Tamandua tetradactyla: one gene and its partner. The protein of the gene in region 1 interacts with the protein of each later gene in a pairwise test. Links are inferred from orthologs where the notes say so. Each region holds a gene or a part of one and is shown in the gene's direction. Other genes may lie near its edges.

Evidence for each region. The genes of interacting proteins can lie anywhere in the genome.
Region 2: the proteins of LDLRAP1 (region 1) and PSD4 interact in binary tests that used the Homo sapiens proteins (3 or more experiments, as listed by UniProt). The two-hybrid records come from large-scale screens. The link is inferred for Tamandua tetradactyla from reciprocal best matches to the Homo sapiens genes LDLRAP1 and PSD4.

What each region holds. Positions count from the first base shown.
Region 1 is NC_135328.1:200,650,351-200,658,254, reverse strand, and holds the start of LDLRAP1 (low density lipoprotein receptor adapter protein 1), read left to right. Parts: upstream 1-4,901; 5' UTR 4,902-5,017; coding exon 5,018-5,105; intron 5,106-7,904. UniProt on the Homo sapiens protein: Adapter protein (clathrin-associated sorting protein (CLASP)) required for efficient endocytosis of the LDL receptor (LDLR) in polarized cells such as hepatocytes and lymphocytes, but not in non-polarized cells (fibroblasts).
Region 2 is NC_135343.1:138,354-146,129, reverse strand, and holds the start of PSD4 (PH and SEC7 domain-containing protein 4), read left to right. Parts: upstream 1-4,776; 5' UTR 4,777-4,881; intron 4,882-7,776. UniProt on the Homo sapiens protein: Guanine nucleotide exchange factor for ARF6 and ARL14/ARF7. Through ARL14 activation, controls the movement of MHC class II-containing vesicles along the actin cytoskeleton in dendritic cells. Involved in membrane recycling.

The sequences.
Region 1 (7,904 bases):
TAATGTTACCTAACCATAAGTAGACTTGGTTTTAGAGCCCAGGTATGTAGAGCTCCAAGGTCAAACAGTTGCTGTTTAGATGTGTATGTGTGTGCACGTGCATTGGGGACGGAAAGCTGTGTGTGGGCTGTCACTGTGGTATTGGGGAGGAGGCCAACTAGACCCTTTAGCCAAAGGTGAAGGGACCAGGAGAGTCAGGGAGGCAATCTGGCTGGATGTTTCTGGGAGAGGAAGCAGCATGGGAAGGGGTTGAGGGAGGGGTTCAGAGGCAACTGATTGGGGCTACCAGGTCTGCGGGCCTCAGAGGGCAGGAGAGTCCCTGTGGATCAGGGGAAAGGCCAGAGCTGAGTAAGCGGGCAGCTCCAGGGCTCCCAACTCACTGGGTGGCCCAGGTTCTCTCTGTCTCCCTGGTAGGAGCTCGCAAACTTGCGCCTGAGGGAGGGTGACGGGGCAGCCCTGTCCTGCCAGGGTGGGGGATGGGAGGCCCTGGGGCAAGGCTGGACTACCCACAGCTCAGACCGGCCAGGCTGATTCCATTCCCTAGAAAGCTCCCTTCCCTGGGGACCAGCCAAGAACAATGATAACCACCCCACCCGTTTCATCTGTACTGTTCATCTAATTAGGAAACAACAAACATGGCACAGATGTGTCAGGCCTAATTCTGAACACATTACAAATATTAACTCATTTACTCCTCACAACAACTCCATGAAGTATAATCTCCACTTTACGCAGGTGGAAACAGAGGCCCATGGAAATTAAACGACGCACCTAAGGTCACGACATGAAGAAGTCAGGGGGCCGAAGTCCCAGGCTCCAGCATCCTCGGGGTTAGCCGCTGGGCTTTGCTGGTTTCCGCCGGTAACCCATTTTACAGATGAAAAGCAGGCCCAGCAAGCCGAAGGGACTGGCTAGGGAATGTAAGGGGGATAGGCCACCTGAGGAAGCCAGGGCCCTGATCCCATGTAGGGCTTTTGTCTCGATCCCACTGCAAGCCCCAAATATGACTGGAGAGAGGCCAACAGCCCTCCCGGCTCTCTTGCACCCACTATCCCACTGGGGTTCCACGCAGGCCCCGTGAGGAAGAAACAGTAAGACTGTGGTTCTGTCTCCATTTTCCTAGGGACAAAGGCCAGTAATTCCCATAGATAGTTTCCCAGTCCCCCAACTTTTATTATTTTCTAATTTCTGATTATTAAAAGATACATGATCACTGCAGAAATTTTTCCAAAGACAGATCGTCAGATAAGAAAATACAATTACAAAAACCCAACTAACCAACCAAAAATCAGGAAAAGAATAATCACCTTAAATCCCCTCTTTTTTTTAAATATTTTTATTGACAAATCTTCACACACACACAGTTCATACATGGTGTATAATCAGTGGCTCACAATATCATCACATAGTTGTGAATTCAACACCATGATCATTTTGAGAACATTTGCATCACTCCAGAAAAATAAATAAAAAGACAAAGGAAAAAACTCACACATCTTATACCCCTTACCCCTCCCTCTCATCACCACTAGTATTTCCATCTATGCAATTTTTTTACCCTTTATACCTACCACCCCCATTATTTCTTTTTTATCCTTTTTTTTTTTTTGCTCATCTGTCCATAGCCTGGATAAAAGGAGCATCAGACAGAAGGTTTTCATAATCACATGGTCACATTGTAAAAGCTATATAGTTATACAATTGTCTTCAAGAATTAAGGCTACTGGAACACAGCTCAAAAGTTTCAGGTACTTCCCTCTAGCCACTCCAATACACCGTAAACTAAAAGGGATGCCTATATAATAAATAAGAATAACCTCCAAGATAACCTCTTGACTCTGTTTGAAATCTCTTAGCCACTGAAACTTCATTTTGTCTCATTTCTCTCTTCCCCCTTTTGGTCAAGAAGGTTTTCTGAATCTTTTCATGCTGGGTATCATCTCATCCCAGGAATTCTGTCCCACATTGCCAGGGAGATTTATACCCCTCAGTCATGTCCCATGTAGTGGGGAGGGCAGTGAGTTCACCTGCTGCGTTGGCCTAGAAAGGCCACATCTGAGCAACAAAAGAAGTTCTCTGGGGGTGACTCTTAGGCATAATTATAAGTAGGCTTAGCTTATCCTTTGCAGGAATAAATTTCATAGGGGTGAACCCTAAGATCGAGGGCTTAGCCTATTAAATTAGTTGTCCCCACTGCTTGTGAGAATATCGAGAATTCCCCAAATGGAATTTTCCTCCTTTCTCCCCAGTCTCCCAAGGGGTCTTTGCAAATACTTTTTTTATTCTCTGCCCACATTATTCTGGGGTATATCAGGGCATCACCCTAACCTGTACAAACCAACAAGGTCTCACGCCATATTCAAGATTTCATGTAATTATGGTGTTCAAATTAACTGACCATACAAATTAAATTAGATAATGTGCTACCCACAATATAGATTTTGCACCAAATAAACATCCCTTCTTTTGATCTCACACAGAAGGTGACATTTTAAAACATGGACCATATCACCCTTTACCCTGTATTCTGATTTCCCGTAGTCCAGATCAGCTTCATTCACATCTCTAGTTGAAGTCTGATCACTTTTTCAACTTTTTAAACAGTTGCTGTATGGGTAATGCTGACTTTCATAGCTTCAGTCTCTAATTCAGAGTCTCAGGTGTCACATAAATACCCGAAGTTTCAAGGAATGACCACGTTAAAACCCCTACTTGAATACTAACATATTCTCAAGATTTCTTTGGTCTCCCCCGTTTTCAAAAGCATCTGGGCAGGGAGGCAGGAGACAGCCTCTCGTCCTGGCTTGCTGTGCGACCTTGGGCAAGTCACTGCCCCTCTCTGGGCTTGAGGCTTCTCATCTGTGAAATGAGGAATTGGATACTGTAACCTCAAAGGAGGCCCTTCATGCCTCTGACCTTCTGTTTCTGCTTCTGTTTCTGGGATTGGCAGGAGGGGCACAGGCAGGCTGCCCCTCTGCAGGGGATGCATGGCTGACAGCTCCCAGCAAGCTGCCTCCAAGAGATGTGAAGGGCACAGAAACAGCTTTTGCTGCACGCATGGCGTTCCCAGGCCTGACTGCTTACCAGGCCCATATGGTGCCCCCTGCCAGGTGGACACCACCCCCTGCCCTTCTCCAGCCAGCGTGAATGATTGTTCTTCCTTCAGGTTCCAGAATGTGCTCTGCTTCTCCAAGACTCACTGGCTTGATGTGAGAGAGCCAGTGGTGTTAGCCCTCAGGGTCTACCTACCCGTTGCCACAGCCCTTCTGTGGGAAGAGGCAGCCTGGTGTGGTGAAAAGCTGGAAGGAGGGAGGAGGGAAAAAAAACAAACACTGACTGTGTCCAACTCCCTTTGGACCCTACGGGATTCAGAAATGAATAGAAAAGCTTGCCCTTGAAGGATACAACTTTGGTGGGAGCGAGAAGAGTAGAAACAGGGAGTAGCAATACTTGCCATTCCAAAAGCAGGCCTGTGGAGCCCACAGGAAACTTAACCCCTGGGTGGGAGCGAAGGAAGGCTTCCTGGAAGAGGCAATTTTAAAGGTACGTTATTCAACCTCTCCAACTCACTTTATTTCATCCTCACAGACACCTCTGAGGAATGGGTACTGTTGCCCCTGAGGGGGTTTGCCCAAAAGGAAGAGAGCTGGATTCAAGCTCCCAACATTCCACTCTGGTCTACTGCCCTTGGTCTGAGTATGATGTGGCCTCTGATGTGCAGGAGACCCTCAGTGAGTGCTTCACTCCTGAGCCTTGGGCTCCTATTCTATAAAATGGGTTTATTCCTGGCTTCAATATCCAGTTCAGCACTGTTGTTGGAGCAAAGGACAGAATGGCTGAAAAAGCACTCTTTTTATAAACAGGGGAGTGACCATGTCAGTGAGGCCTCCTGACCCAGGTGGGGCTGGCCGAGTAGTTTCTCTTCCCCATCACAGAAACCCGGGTCCTGGTTTCTGAGCCTGGAGCAAGCAGAGGCTGGATGGAGTGAGGGTTCGCGTGCCCCTGCTCTCTGTTTGGCTGGCCTTGCTGAGACACCCTGCCTAGAAAAAGCCAGGTCAAAGGTCCGGACAGATACACTCTCCTTTCGCTCCTTTGACACAGGCCAACAGGCAGACTCAGAATTTCTAAGAGTAAGAATTCTAGAATCCTGGAGTTAGAACACCTGCGTTTGAGGAGTCCTAGGATGGAGACTCCTTGGTCCCTCGAGTACCTGCAGGAAGGGGGCAGAATCTGGGTCAATAGTATGCAGCAGGCCAGCCACTTTATAGATAAGAACGAGACCCAAAGAAGGAACTGCCTGAAGTCACACAGCGAGTCAGTATCAGAGGTATGCTTTCCCCCATACCTCACAGCATAATGTACCAGGCCATGCCACCTCCTGAGGCTAGCTGGGGGAGAAAGCTGGACAGAGGCAGTCCAGAGTGCCAGGGGGCAGCCTGCCTGCTATGTGGGTGAGTAAAGTGCTCACGTGGTTTTGCTAAAGCAAACTTTCACACTCTAGTCCCATACCTACAAAGCGCCAAAACCCCCACCCTCTCCTTCTAAGCTTTCCACTGCTTTGTGCATCCCCTGTCCCCTGGCCCTTTTCCTTCTCTGGCTCTCAGTCTTCCTATCTGTAAAATGATCTCCCAGAACCATTCTTTAGGACTGGCTAGGAAATCCTAGGGGCAGTCAGTCTCGCGGCGGGGCTGGCGGCTCTCGGACCTGCCAACTCCTACAGGTCGGGGAGGAAGGGAATTGCGGAGAAGGAAACATGAGTTGTCTTGAGCTTTCGGCTCGCTATTTTAGGGGCGCCGCCCTTTGTCTACGCAAGGACTGGGAGCGCGCCCCACCCAGAGGGCATGGGCGGGGCGGGCCGTCCGGGGCGGGGCCTGGCCGGCTTTTCGCCCCGCCCCGTCGGACGCCGCGGCGGAGCTGGCGCGGGGAGGGGAGGAGCGCGCGCGCCGCGCGGCCCTGGCGGAAAGTTTTTCCTGAAGGAGTTTTGGCGGCTGCTGGGCTGCGGCGGCCGGAGCGGGCCATGGACGCGCTCAAGTCCGCCGGGCGGGCGCTGATCCGGAGCCCCAGCCTCGCCAAGCAGAGCTGGGGGGCCGGCGGCCGGCACCGAAGTGAGTGTGCGCGCGTCCCCCGGGGCCCGGGCCGGGGTCGGGCCGAGGCCGACAGGGACCCCCGCGGCGCCCGGAGTTCGGCGCAGCGGGGGGAGAGGCAGGGCCTGCAGTGCACCCTGCGGGGCGCGCGCGGCTAGGAGCAGCCCTGCCCCGGCCCTGCCGGGTCGGAGGGTCGCCCGGGGTCAAGTCCCCCCAACCCCTCCCCCCCAGGCTCTGTGCAGCCTAGGAGGAGGGACAGCCGCAGGGGGGAGAGACCGAAGCTCGGGGTCCCCAGGTGTAGGCGGCAGTGGGAAGGGGTCGCAGGTCAGCAGGAGACCGGCGCGCGGCACCTCTCCCACCTTTCGGCCCCCACCCCTCGCCGCCCTGAGCAGCTGGGAGGAGGCAGGAGCGCGGCGTCGTGTCCTGGGGAGGGGGAGTGGGCCCAGGGCCGAGTTTATGGACGGGGCCACGGGGACCAGGGCGTCTTCCCAAGCCGCGTGCCCAGGGGTCGCTGCGGGCTGGCCCCCGCCCCTGCGGAGCGCTCGGCGGCTGGATCCCACTTGTCCCTCCCCCCAACCCGGTCCAACCCGCTGGTTCATCTCTTGACACCCCGGCGCCCAGAGACCCATCCAGGTGTGAGCCTGTGAACCCAGGTACCTGCTTGAGATTGGGGACGAGGTCCGGCCTGGGGGTGGGGAGGAGGGTTTCCTTACAAACTGTCGTTAAGACCTCTGCGTCCCCTCACCTAACCGGGTCGAGGTAGCAAGCTGGCGACTTAGTTATTTTTGAAACCTGTTTCCTTTCCCTTCTTTCTCCTCGGTGGCTAACGAAGTCCCGGAGGCGCCCAGGCGAATGGCAGACTCACTCGCAGTTACCTTCTCCCTGGGGTGTCTGGGAGGCAGGGAGGGCCTCATCAGGGCCCTAACTTCTCTCCCCCGCCTTCTGCAGTTACTCTGGTCACCTGGCACTTTTCCCTGATGCCTGAGAAACCCCGCCCAATTCCCTCTTTTTTTTTTTCACCAGTGGAAACAGAGGCCCAGAGAGGCAGAGCGCTTACTTGGACTCACACAGCCCTTCCTGGCGAATGTGGAGCCAAACCTAGGAATCCTCTACGCTTCCCCCCCTGCCCTCCCCCCCCACCATGCTGCCGACCCACCTGAGCCCAGGCCTCTCCCCATCAGGAAGAGCCACCAGTACCACGTTTCCCTGTCCCCGCCTCCTCCCCCTCCACGCCATTCCCTCTTTGCTTTCCAGATCACTGCCAGGAGCGCCAGCGTGTCTGGGCCTAGGGCGCCTGCCCTGCCCTGCCCTGCCCTGCCCCCCACCCCCTTGCCCAGCTCTGCTGTTGCAGCTCTGGCTGCCTCTGGAATGGAGACTGGCATGGGGAATGTGGGCTGCTGCTGGGGGGACTGAGGTCAGGGACCCATAAGAGCCTGGCAGGCCAGGGAGGGTCACCTCTCACTCTTCATGGCTTCCAAAGTAGCCCTTTAGATGTTTGTGGAATTCCACCAGGGGTAGGGGTCACCCACAGCTTCTGAGAATGAGGGTCTGTTCCAGTGGGGACCCTGTGCTTCTCTACTGGGATACGGGTGGGTGGAGCAGCCCCCAGGGAGCTGGCTGTGAAGGAAGGGTGTGTGGGGGGGGGGGGCCTGGGCAAGGGAGGGGAGCTTAGGGGCACCTTTGCTGGAGAGGGGAGAAGGGAGCCACCTTGGGTGGGAGTAGAGTTTCCCTGTCAGCTGCCACCTTGGGTGCATTCCTTGTCCCTTCTGAGTCTCAGTTTCCTCATCTGCATTATGGGGTGGGGATGTTGAGAAGATGTGGATGGTAATGCTCCCTCTTGGCCTGATGGGTGGTTTCTTTCTCTCCCACTCTTCCCCTGGCCTGTCCCCAGCCCCTTCCATCTGATTCCTGTGGTGGAACAGGTTTTGGGGGCTCAGGGCCTGTCTGCATTTGCAGAGAACTGGAGAGGAGGGCATCCCTCCGAAAGCCCAGACGGCCCTGGAGCCTTCTTTACTTAGACTCATCTGGCTTCAGAGCCCCACCCTGACCCTCCTTATTAAGCCTCCATTTCCTCATCTGAAAATTACAAATAGCCACAGTCCCCACCTCCTATTTCTTCTGTGGGGATTACATCAAATTGTGTTTTGCCTGGTACAGAGGAAGAGTTCAATAAGTGGTAGCTATTGTTTTTGTCATTTAATACTTAACCATGTGTTTTTGCTTCCATGATCTCTTTTGCTCCTGTGAGGTGACAGAGCAGGGGATTCTTATCATCAGACCCATTTTAGAGTTAAAGGGACTGAGGCTCAGGGAGGTGGAGTCACTGGCTCTGGACTCAGCCCCCCCAGCCTAGGGGTCTTACTGTGCCATATGGACCCGGTGGCCATGGGAGGAGCTGGCAGCAGGCCTGAGGCAACGGTGGGCACAGGGTGGAGAGGAAGGCTGTGGTGGGGGCGGGCTGGGGACGGCAGCTTGCCTGGGGTTATGGGCCAGCCCTGGAAGCTCTGCGCTCCCAGGCTAAGAGTGGTGGTGCCAAGTGGAAGCCAGTGAACAGTGTTAGACCTGACCCCTGTGACTGGCTTCTCATCCCTCCAGGTCCCCAAAGCTGGGATTCGTAGCTCATTGTTTTATTCATGGAGAGACTGAAACCCAGAGAAAGAAGGCAGCTTGCCCAAGGCCACACGGCAACGCCAGCACCCCAGGCCTTGCATGAACTTCACAGCTTCCTGTCTTCCACTTAGTCCTGACCTCGAAGAAGAACTGGCTCCCTCTCCCACACATGGCTTTTTAACCCCATCTCTTCAACAGCCATAAATATTT
Region 2 (7,776 bases), on another chromosome or scaffold:
TTTTTTTTTGACCAGTAGAGCTCCCTTTAATATTTCTTATAGGGCTGATTGACAGATTCTTTCAGCTTTTGTTTGTCTATGAAAATTTTAATCTCTCCCTCAGTTTTTTAATCTTTTTTTCACATGGGCAGGCACCAGGAATCGAACCCAACATGGCCAGTGAGAACTCTGCCTGCTGAGCCACCATGGGCCACACTATCCCTCAGTTTTGAAGGAAAATTTGGCTGGGTACAGAATTTTTGGCTGGAAGTCTTTCTCTTTTAGGATTTTAAATATATTATATCATTGCCTTCTTGCCTTCATGATGCAAGTTGAGTAGTCCGACCTAAGTCTTATGTGATTTCCCATGTTCGTAAAAGACAGTTTTACTTTTGTCATTTTCACATTTTCTGCTTCTCTTCAACATCTGACAGACTGATTAGCATGTGTCTTGGGGAAGGCCTATAGAGTTGGTTGGGCTTCTTTGATTTGCACATTTATATCTTTTATAAGGGTTGGGAAGTTTTCCCCATTATATCCTCAACCACTCTTCCTAACTCTTTACTCTTCTCTTCTCCTTTTGGGACATCGATGATTCTTATATTTGTTTGCTTTTTTTGTCCATCATTGCCCTGAAATCCAATTCACGTTTTTCCAAATTTTTGCCATTTGGTCTTTTGTGTGTTCAAGTTCAGTTGTCCTGGTCTCGAGTGTGCTTATTCTTTTCTCCTGCCTCTTCAAATCTGCTGTTGTGTGTCTCAAGTATATTTTTGATTTGGTCTAAAGCATCTTTAATCTCTGTGATATCTGCTGTTTTTCTGTTTATTTTTTCAAATTCATTTTTATGCTCTTCTGGTGTGTTCTTGATGTCCTTCATGTAATTAGCCATCCCACTTATTCTGTTTAATAGAGTTGTAAGAACAATTTGCTTAGTTGTTCCAGACTCTGTGTCTCCTCAAGTGTTTTACTTTGGCTCTTAGGCTGGGCTATGCCTCTTCTGCAGTGTGATATGCTTGCGATCTCCTATTATCTTTGCGGCATGTAAATATCTTGAGAGGGTTACTTTGAAAATTGCTTTCCTTCAGTAGACTAGAGCTTTGTGTTTGGAGATGGACAGGGCCCAGTGATGATTGTGAGAGGCTGCAGCCTGGATGCGCAGGTGACCGCCTGCAGGGGGCAGGGAAGGGAAGGTAGGGGTCCAGGGCCTGGGTACCGGTGGGGGGTCTCGGGAGGGGCGGGGCAACATTGCGCTTATGCGGGAGAGGTGGGTCGGCTGGGCCAGTCTGCGTGTGTGTGGAGCCGGGGCTGTGGGTGGGGGCGCGCTGGGGGGCGGCAGCACTCGGCAAGTTTGCTGGGGGTGGGAGGAGCTGTGGGTGGAGGCCGCACAGGAGGGTAGCATGCTCAAGGGTTGCGGCTTGGCTGACTTCCCGGCCCCGCCCCCGTCCGTGCATCCCTGAGAGCTGCGTGCCTTCTTCGGGAAACGGGCGGGCGCAGTGCTGCAGCCGCGCGGTCTCCGGGTCTCTGCATCTCAGCTCTTCAGCTCCTGCCACCAGGGCGGCCCCATGAGGTGTGGAAGGCCCTGCCGGGTCACCCCCACCCTGGAGTCGCCCTTCTGCCCTTCTCTGGCTGTTCCTCGGAGCGGGCTGAACTCAACCTCTCCGCTCCGCCCTCCTCCTGAAACTCTATATATTTGATTTTGGTCCTGTTTTCTGTTGAATTACTAGGTTCTCCTTATTTCTCCTGGCCCCCGTCTCTGGGCCTACTGTCCACCCTTCACGTCTGCCATCTCCCTCCCCCCCACTACACACATTGGCATGTTTTTAGCATTCTTGGGTCTGTACATATTTTAGAGAAATAGACAAATTTATGTGTGCATGTATTTTAGACTTGATGACTTTATTGTGCTATATATTCTGATTTTCTTACTTTTAAACCTGATGCCATGTCCTAAGGTGCCATGTTCTGTTCAGCTGCCATGCATACTTGGCTCCTGGACTCTTGTTGGGTTGGGTGGAGGAGGAGACAAGGAGGGTCTGGCAGTGGGGAGGGCAGTGGGGAGGGAGCCCGAGCTGCGCCCAGCACACCTGGGGAAGGGCTGCAGAGCTGTTGGAGCTCAGCTGGAGCGTGGCGGGCTCCTCACACAGCAGCCTAGGGTGGCTCGAATGCCAGCATTTGGCAGTTGGGGAAGGGGGCGTGGGGTGGGGGTTGGGGGCTATAAGTATTTTCAGGGGCAGGGGTGGCTCAGGGAGGAGGATGAGGAGGGAGGTGGGAGCGGATTTCTGTGGGAGGTGGAGGAGCCACATTCAGGGCTGCCGAGGGCGGGTGTGGCGGGAAAGCACCCCTGGCAAATGGACACACCCCAACAAACTCAGGGCAAGAGAGGGGCTGCAAGCCTCCAGCAGTGGGGGAGTGGGTGCGGGTCCCAGGCAGCCCCCAGGTGGCCTGGACGGACGGAGAGAGGCCAGCCAGCCGACATGGTGCTCTCGAGCACTGCGCTTTGCTGGGCACTTCTTGGCCGGGCCGTCTCAGAAGCCATCCCCTGGGCATGGGATGGGGCAGCAGGGAGGAGGGGTGGTCAAGGAGCAGCCCTGCTTTCCTGGAGGCCCAGTGGCCTGGCCTGGGACGCAGCCCTGGAGGAAGAGCGGCCGAAGCAGGGAAGAAGAAGGGTGGCTCTCCTCCCCAGCCTGTCCCTGCCGGGAGCCGCCTTGTCCCAGAGTGGCCCCTGCAGGCCAGTGCTCCCTGTGCAGACCCCAGGGACAGCCCTTCTCCTGGCTTCTCCTCCCCTTTCCCCTGCTCAGCACTTACCTGCTCTGCCTTTGGACGCCGGAACTTTCCATTTAGTGGGAGCTGATTTCTGTCCACGGTCACGGCCGACCGTGGCTAATGGGCACTAAAGGGCAGACTTCCGGCTCTTTCTCCAAAGCTGTAAATGCCAGAGACTCAGCTTCTGCTGCACAGAGATCTGCTCACCTGTGCATCCCAGTCGTGGCTTTGACATGAGTTTTCCACCCATACTATGATATATTAAAGATTTTTCTTTGAATACACACACACACACGAAAAAACAACCAAAATTAGGCATTGTCTGCATTAGCATGATTGCGCTTTTATTTTCCTGATGCATATCCAAAGAATTGTTCACCTATTAAAGAGTTCCATTTGGGCTTGGGCTGGTGCAGCTGTGGGCTTGTGGAGGCAGCGCTTGGGGGGAGCGCATTTCCCTTCTGACCCTCAGGGGTGGGGGCGGTGAGGCCGGGGCGGGGGCAGTGAGACCGAGCTGGGGGCCCAGGCGCCCCCAGAGCCCCATGCCCCTCAGCAACTGTGGGGACAGAGCACAGCAAAAGGTCTTTAAAGCAAGTAGAGGAATCCCATCATATTTAGTCCATCAAAGCAGCTTTATTGGGTTTGCTTGGATAAACATCATACATCATATTTTATAAAGTGAGGTAGTGTCAACAAAGCTTAAAGAAGTTAAAGACACATGAACTGCTGGCACGCAGATAGTACTGTGAACGTTTTGGTATTTTATCACCTAAATAGGTAAATACATTGCTTTCAAAAACGCGACCCGACCGAATATGCGATCCGTTTTCTTACTTGCTTGGCTTGGAGTGTCGCACCACTACCCTCTGCGCTTCCTTGTGGCCCCCTGGCCGTGGGAAGAGCCCCTCCCGTGCCCACGCACCGTAGCCAGCGCACCTTGAGGAAGGTCGGGGTGCCAGGCAGTGCTGCAGGGTCAGCCGTCTGCATGGGTACTGCTGTGTGGGCTGCCAGTCCCTGGCCCTGAGGGGGCAGGGTGGGCTCAGCAGTGTCCTGTCCCTGTCCTCATCCAACCCACATCATGCTCCCGTCTTGCCTGTGCTGGGGGCCCTCGATGCAGGGGCATGGAACAGGAAACTTCATGCTGGGAGGTTCCCCGCAGCCCCGAGGCCCCGGCCTGGGAGGACAGAGAGGGAGGACAGAAGGTGGAGAACAGATGGGGTAGGACAGAGGGAAGACAAAGGGGGTGGACAGAAGGGGAAGACAGAGGGGGAGGATAGATGGGGGAGGACAGAGGGGGGATATCAGGGGGGAGGTCAGAGGGGGGAGGACGGGGGGAGGACAGAGGGAGGACAGGGGGTGAAGGACAGAGGTGGAAGGAAGGACAGATGCGTGCCTCACACGCCCCCTGCTTGCCGCCCTAACCCTAACCCTAACCCTAACCCTAACCCTAACCCTAACCCTAAGCCTTCCTGGCCACCCCCACCCTCTGCCCTGTCCCGGGGCCACCTGGAAGCCTTTCCTGCTGTGGCCCTGTCTCCCTTCGCCCCTCCAGCCCCTGCCCCAGGTGCTCGCCCTGCCGGCCCCTCCTGCCCATCTGTGGCCTAGGGCTGCGTAGAGGGACTGGGAAGAGGCTGGAGGAAGCAGGTGGGCTGAGAGGGGGTCCTGGGCACCTGGAGAAGGGCAGCAGGTCAGCTGGGCATGTCCTTCCAGCCGTGGGGAGGTGGCCAGGTGCCTGTGGCTTTGAGTGGCGGGTGGGAGGCCCCTCCGTGGCCAGAGGTTCGGTGTCCCCCCCACCAGCGCTCTCGGCCATGGAGTGGGTGCCCAAGGGGCGGGCCCTGTGCACTCCAGCTGGACCTTCAGCCACGGGAGACTTGAAATGTGGTTTGCCAAAAGGGAGAGAGGAAAGTCACCAGCCTGGAACCTACCTCCGCCCTGGGTGCCTGTGCTGCGGTTGGGGGGGGGGGGGTCCCAGGGGGCAGGGGCTGGGGAAAGGGCCTGGAGGCCCTGGGCTGTGGCAGGAAGTATGAGGTGCCGCGCAGGAGCACGGTGGAGAGCGGAAGTCAGACCTCAAGCTGCCACGTTCGCGGGGAGACTGCGCAGGGGAGGCTGCTCCTGGGGAGCCATCGGGGGGCTCTGGAGGTGAGGAGGGTGTGCGGGCGGGAGCAGGGCATCCGGGGGTCTCTGGGGGCCTGGTGCACCTGCGGCGAGCCTGGCTTTGGACAGGACACCCCTGCTTCTCCCTTTTCGGCACCCTTCTCCTCCCATCGGCCCATCGGCCCTGCCCCCACTCCCTGCCCCCCGGAAGCCTGCAGCTAAGGGTGGGGGCCCAGAGAGCTCCTGGATCCCCTCTTGGGGGTCCCTGGGCTGTGAGCCAGACTGGGTGCGGCCCCTCGGAAGGGGGCTCCCCGCTGCCCCTTCCTTCCAGCCACCCGAGAAGCTCTTGGAGGCTGGGCTGTCCTCGCGCTTGCCCGGCAGCTTTGGCTTAGGCTCTTGTCTGGTGCAGGCGCCCTTTCCTCTGTGCCCCGCTGGTGACACAGTTGTCTCTGTTCTCTGCTTGGGGCAGCCCAGGACCAGGCTGCAAGCGCTGTGTAGGGTTCGAGCCTCATGACAGGACAGGCCCTGACATCGCTGGCCACAGTGACCCTGCAGCTAGGCTCCCACCTGCCCCCTCTTCCTGGGGCATTCGGGCTCCACGGGGCCTCTCCCTGGGCCGGACGCAGGCAGGAAGGAGGGGAGGGGGAGGTGGAAGAGGACCGAGGCCCAGGGCCCTGGCCTGGTTCGAGCCCCCACAGCCCAGGCTCTCTGCACATCTCTGGGTGGGCAGGACATGCAGCCGGGGGCAGGGCCTCTGTCGTGCTGCCACGCAGGGGGGCCCTGCCCCAGCCCCAGCCCCGGCAGGCGCCATTCTCTGATGGAAGGACGCATCTTCCTGCCTGAAGGGACAGGGAGAGCGACCCACACAGAGAACAGAGGGGGCCGGCGGGGAGGACTTGGGCAGCCCTTGGGGCTGTGCCCTGCTGCCTTGTGCGTGACCGATTCCTGTGTCCCTGGTTTGGTTGGTTTTGGCTTCTCTGGGCGGACCTACAAGGCCTGGCGCTCCCGCTGCACACAGACCTGCCGGCCGCAGCTCCGCTTCCTCCTTTTGCAGGGAGGGAGGCCCCTCGTGGCTGCTGGGCCGTGGGGCTGAGGCCCCTCGCGGCTGGGGGTCGCCCCTGCGAAGCAAGGGCGTGGGGTCCCGCGGCCCTTCAGAGTCCCAGGCGGCCGCCTCAAGTGCCCTCCGGCCCAGGCACCAGGCAGGCATCGTAGTGGGTCCAGCGCCCGCCCCTCCTCCTGTCCCTCGAGGCCTGAAAGAAGGTCCCAGCCCCGGCGGGGTGGAGGTCGGTGCCGCTGCCCACAGGAGCTGAGGCTGTGCCCTTGCATGTCTCCCCAGAAGTTCCCTGAAAGGTAGCCCACAATCTGCAAGACGGGGCGGGGGGCCCAGGCATCCATGTGGTGGAGTGGTACCCCCTGGCTGGGCTTCCCCCCTCTGCCCGGCTCCCCCCTCTGTCCTGCTGCCCCCGCCCCGTCCTCTGGAGCTCTAGGTCAGTGGCTTGGACCCCACTTCCCCCCAGCTTGTTCCTAAAGTGAGAGCCCCCTGGCTGCAGCGTTAGCAGAACCGCCCATGGGCCTGTCCCCCCAGCCTCCTTGCTCCGGGCAGCCCGAGACAGGCAGGCAGCTTCAGAAGGGATTTCAATACACATCAGGACATGAGGAAAAAAGAAGCCATGACCCAGGGGCCGAAGGCCAGGCTCCCCGAGACTGAGCACGCATCCCACCCCAGGCCGGTCCCAGTCCCCCGCCCTGTGCAGTGGGGGCTTGGCAGTCTCTGGGTGACTCCACCCCTCCGTGGAGTGGGGAGCAGTAAAAACAGAATTGAAACCCTCCTGCAAACAACGATTAAGCAACGACTAAGCAGAGTGTAAAGGAAGGGTAGGTCAGCGAGCCGCCCTGTCCCCAAACTCCTCCTCTTGAGGTGCCTGAGAGGGTCACGTGGATGGAGGGAGGGACGGGGGGTGGGGGGGAGGTGCTGGCTGTGGCCAGCGAGAGCCTCGGCTGGTCCCGCTGCCCACCGTAGTCCCCGCGGACGCCGCCTGCTGCCCCAGCCCCTCCCTCCTCCCCTCCCCTTGGGAACCCCACATTTCCCCGTCCCTGCCCTGGTCTCTGCCCTGCACCCCAGAGCTGCTCTCTTCTCCTCGGTCTCTGGGCAGCTGCTGCAGCGGCTCTGACTCTCCTCCACCTGAGGCAGGTGTGCAACACCTGGTTTCCTCTGGGAAGGCTCATCTGATACTCACCTGTGCCCAGCGCACTCAAAAACATCCCGCGCTGCGCGGCTTTATCTGCCCCTCGTGATTGCTTATAACGCATGTTTGCAGAGGGGAGGGGAGCTCCGTCTTACAGAAGGTGGTGGGGGCCCGATCTCCTCCCAACACCTCCAGCCTCCCCCCACTGCCACTCCCCTTTTTGGCCAAGGAACATTTCCTGTGAACCCAAGTAGGAAGGCTGATGTCATTCTTGCTCAGAAACGCCCTCCTAAGGATGGGTCCGTCAGAGGCAGTGTGCCGGGGGGCATGAGGGGTAAGGCATCCATTAGATGCACTGTGCCGGGAGGGCAGGCAGGGGGCTAGACAAGGAGGAGCGGTCACCGAGGGGTGCCAGCTCACACCAGTGGACCAGGCCTTGGGTGGGTCCCTGGAGAAGGCGGCTGAGTGGACCTGGGATGCCCTGTGCCCAGGCTCCATGCAGGGGCCTTCCCCACGTCCCCAGGTCTCCTGGTGGTCACACTCCCTGGTGTTTCTGGTCCCAGGGCTGCTCCTCGAAGAGGCTACAGGCCTCCCAGGTCTGTTCACACAGTTGTGTAAGCAGGGGAGTCACTCCTGCCACAAGCCACTCTGCAGCCCTGGGGCCGTAAGTCTTGGGTTGGGGGCCCATCTGTGTCCTGGGGCTTGGACAAGCCCTCAGGGAACAGGGGTCTGGAGCCAGGAAGGCTGCATGGCT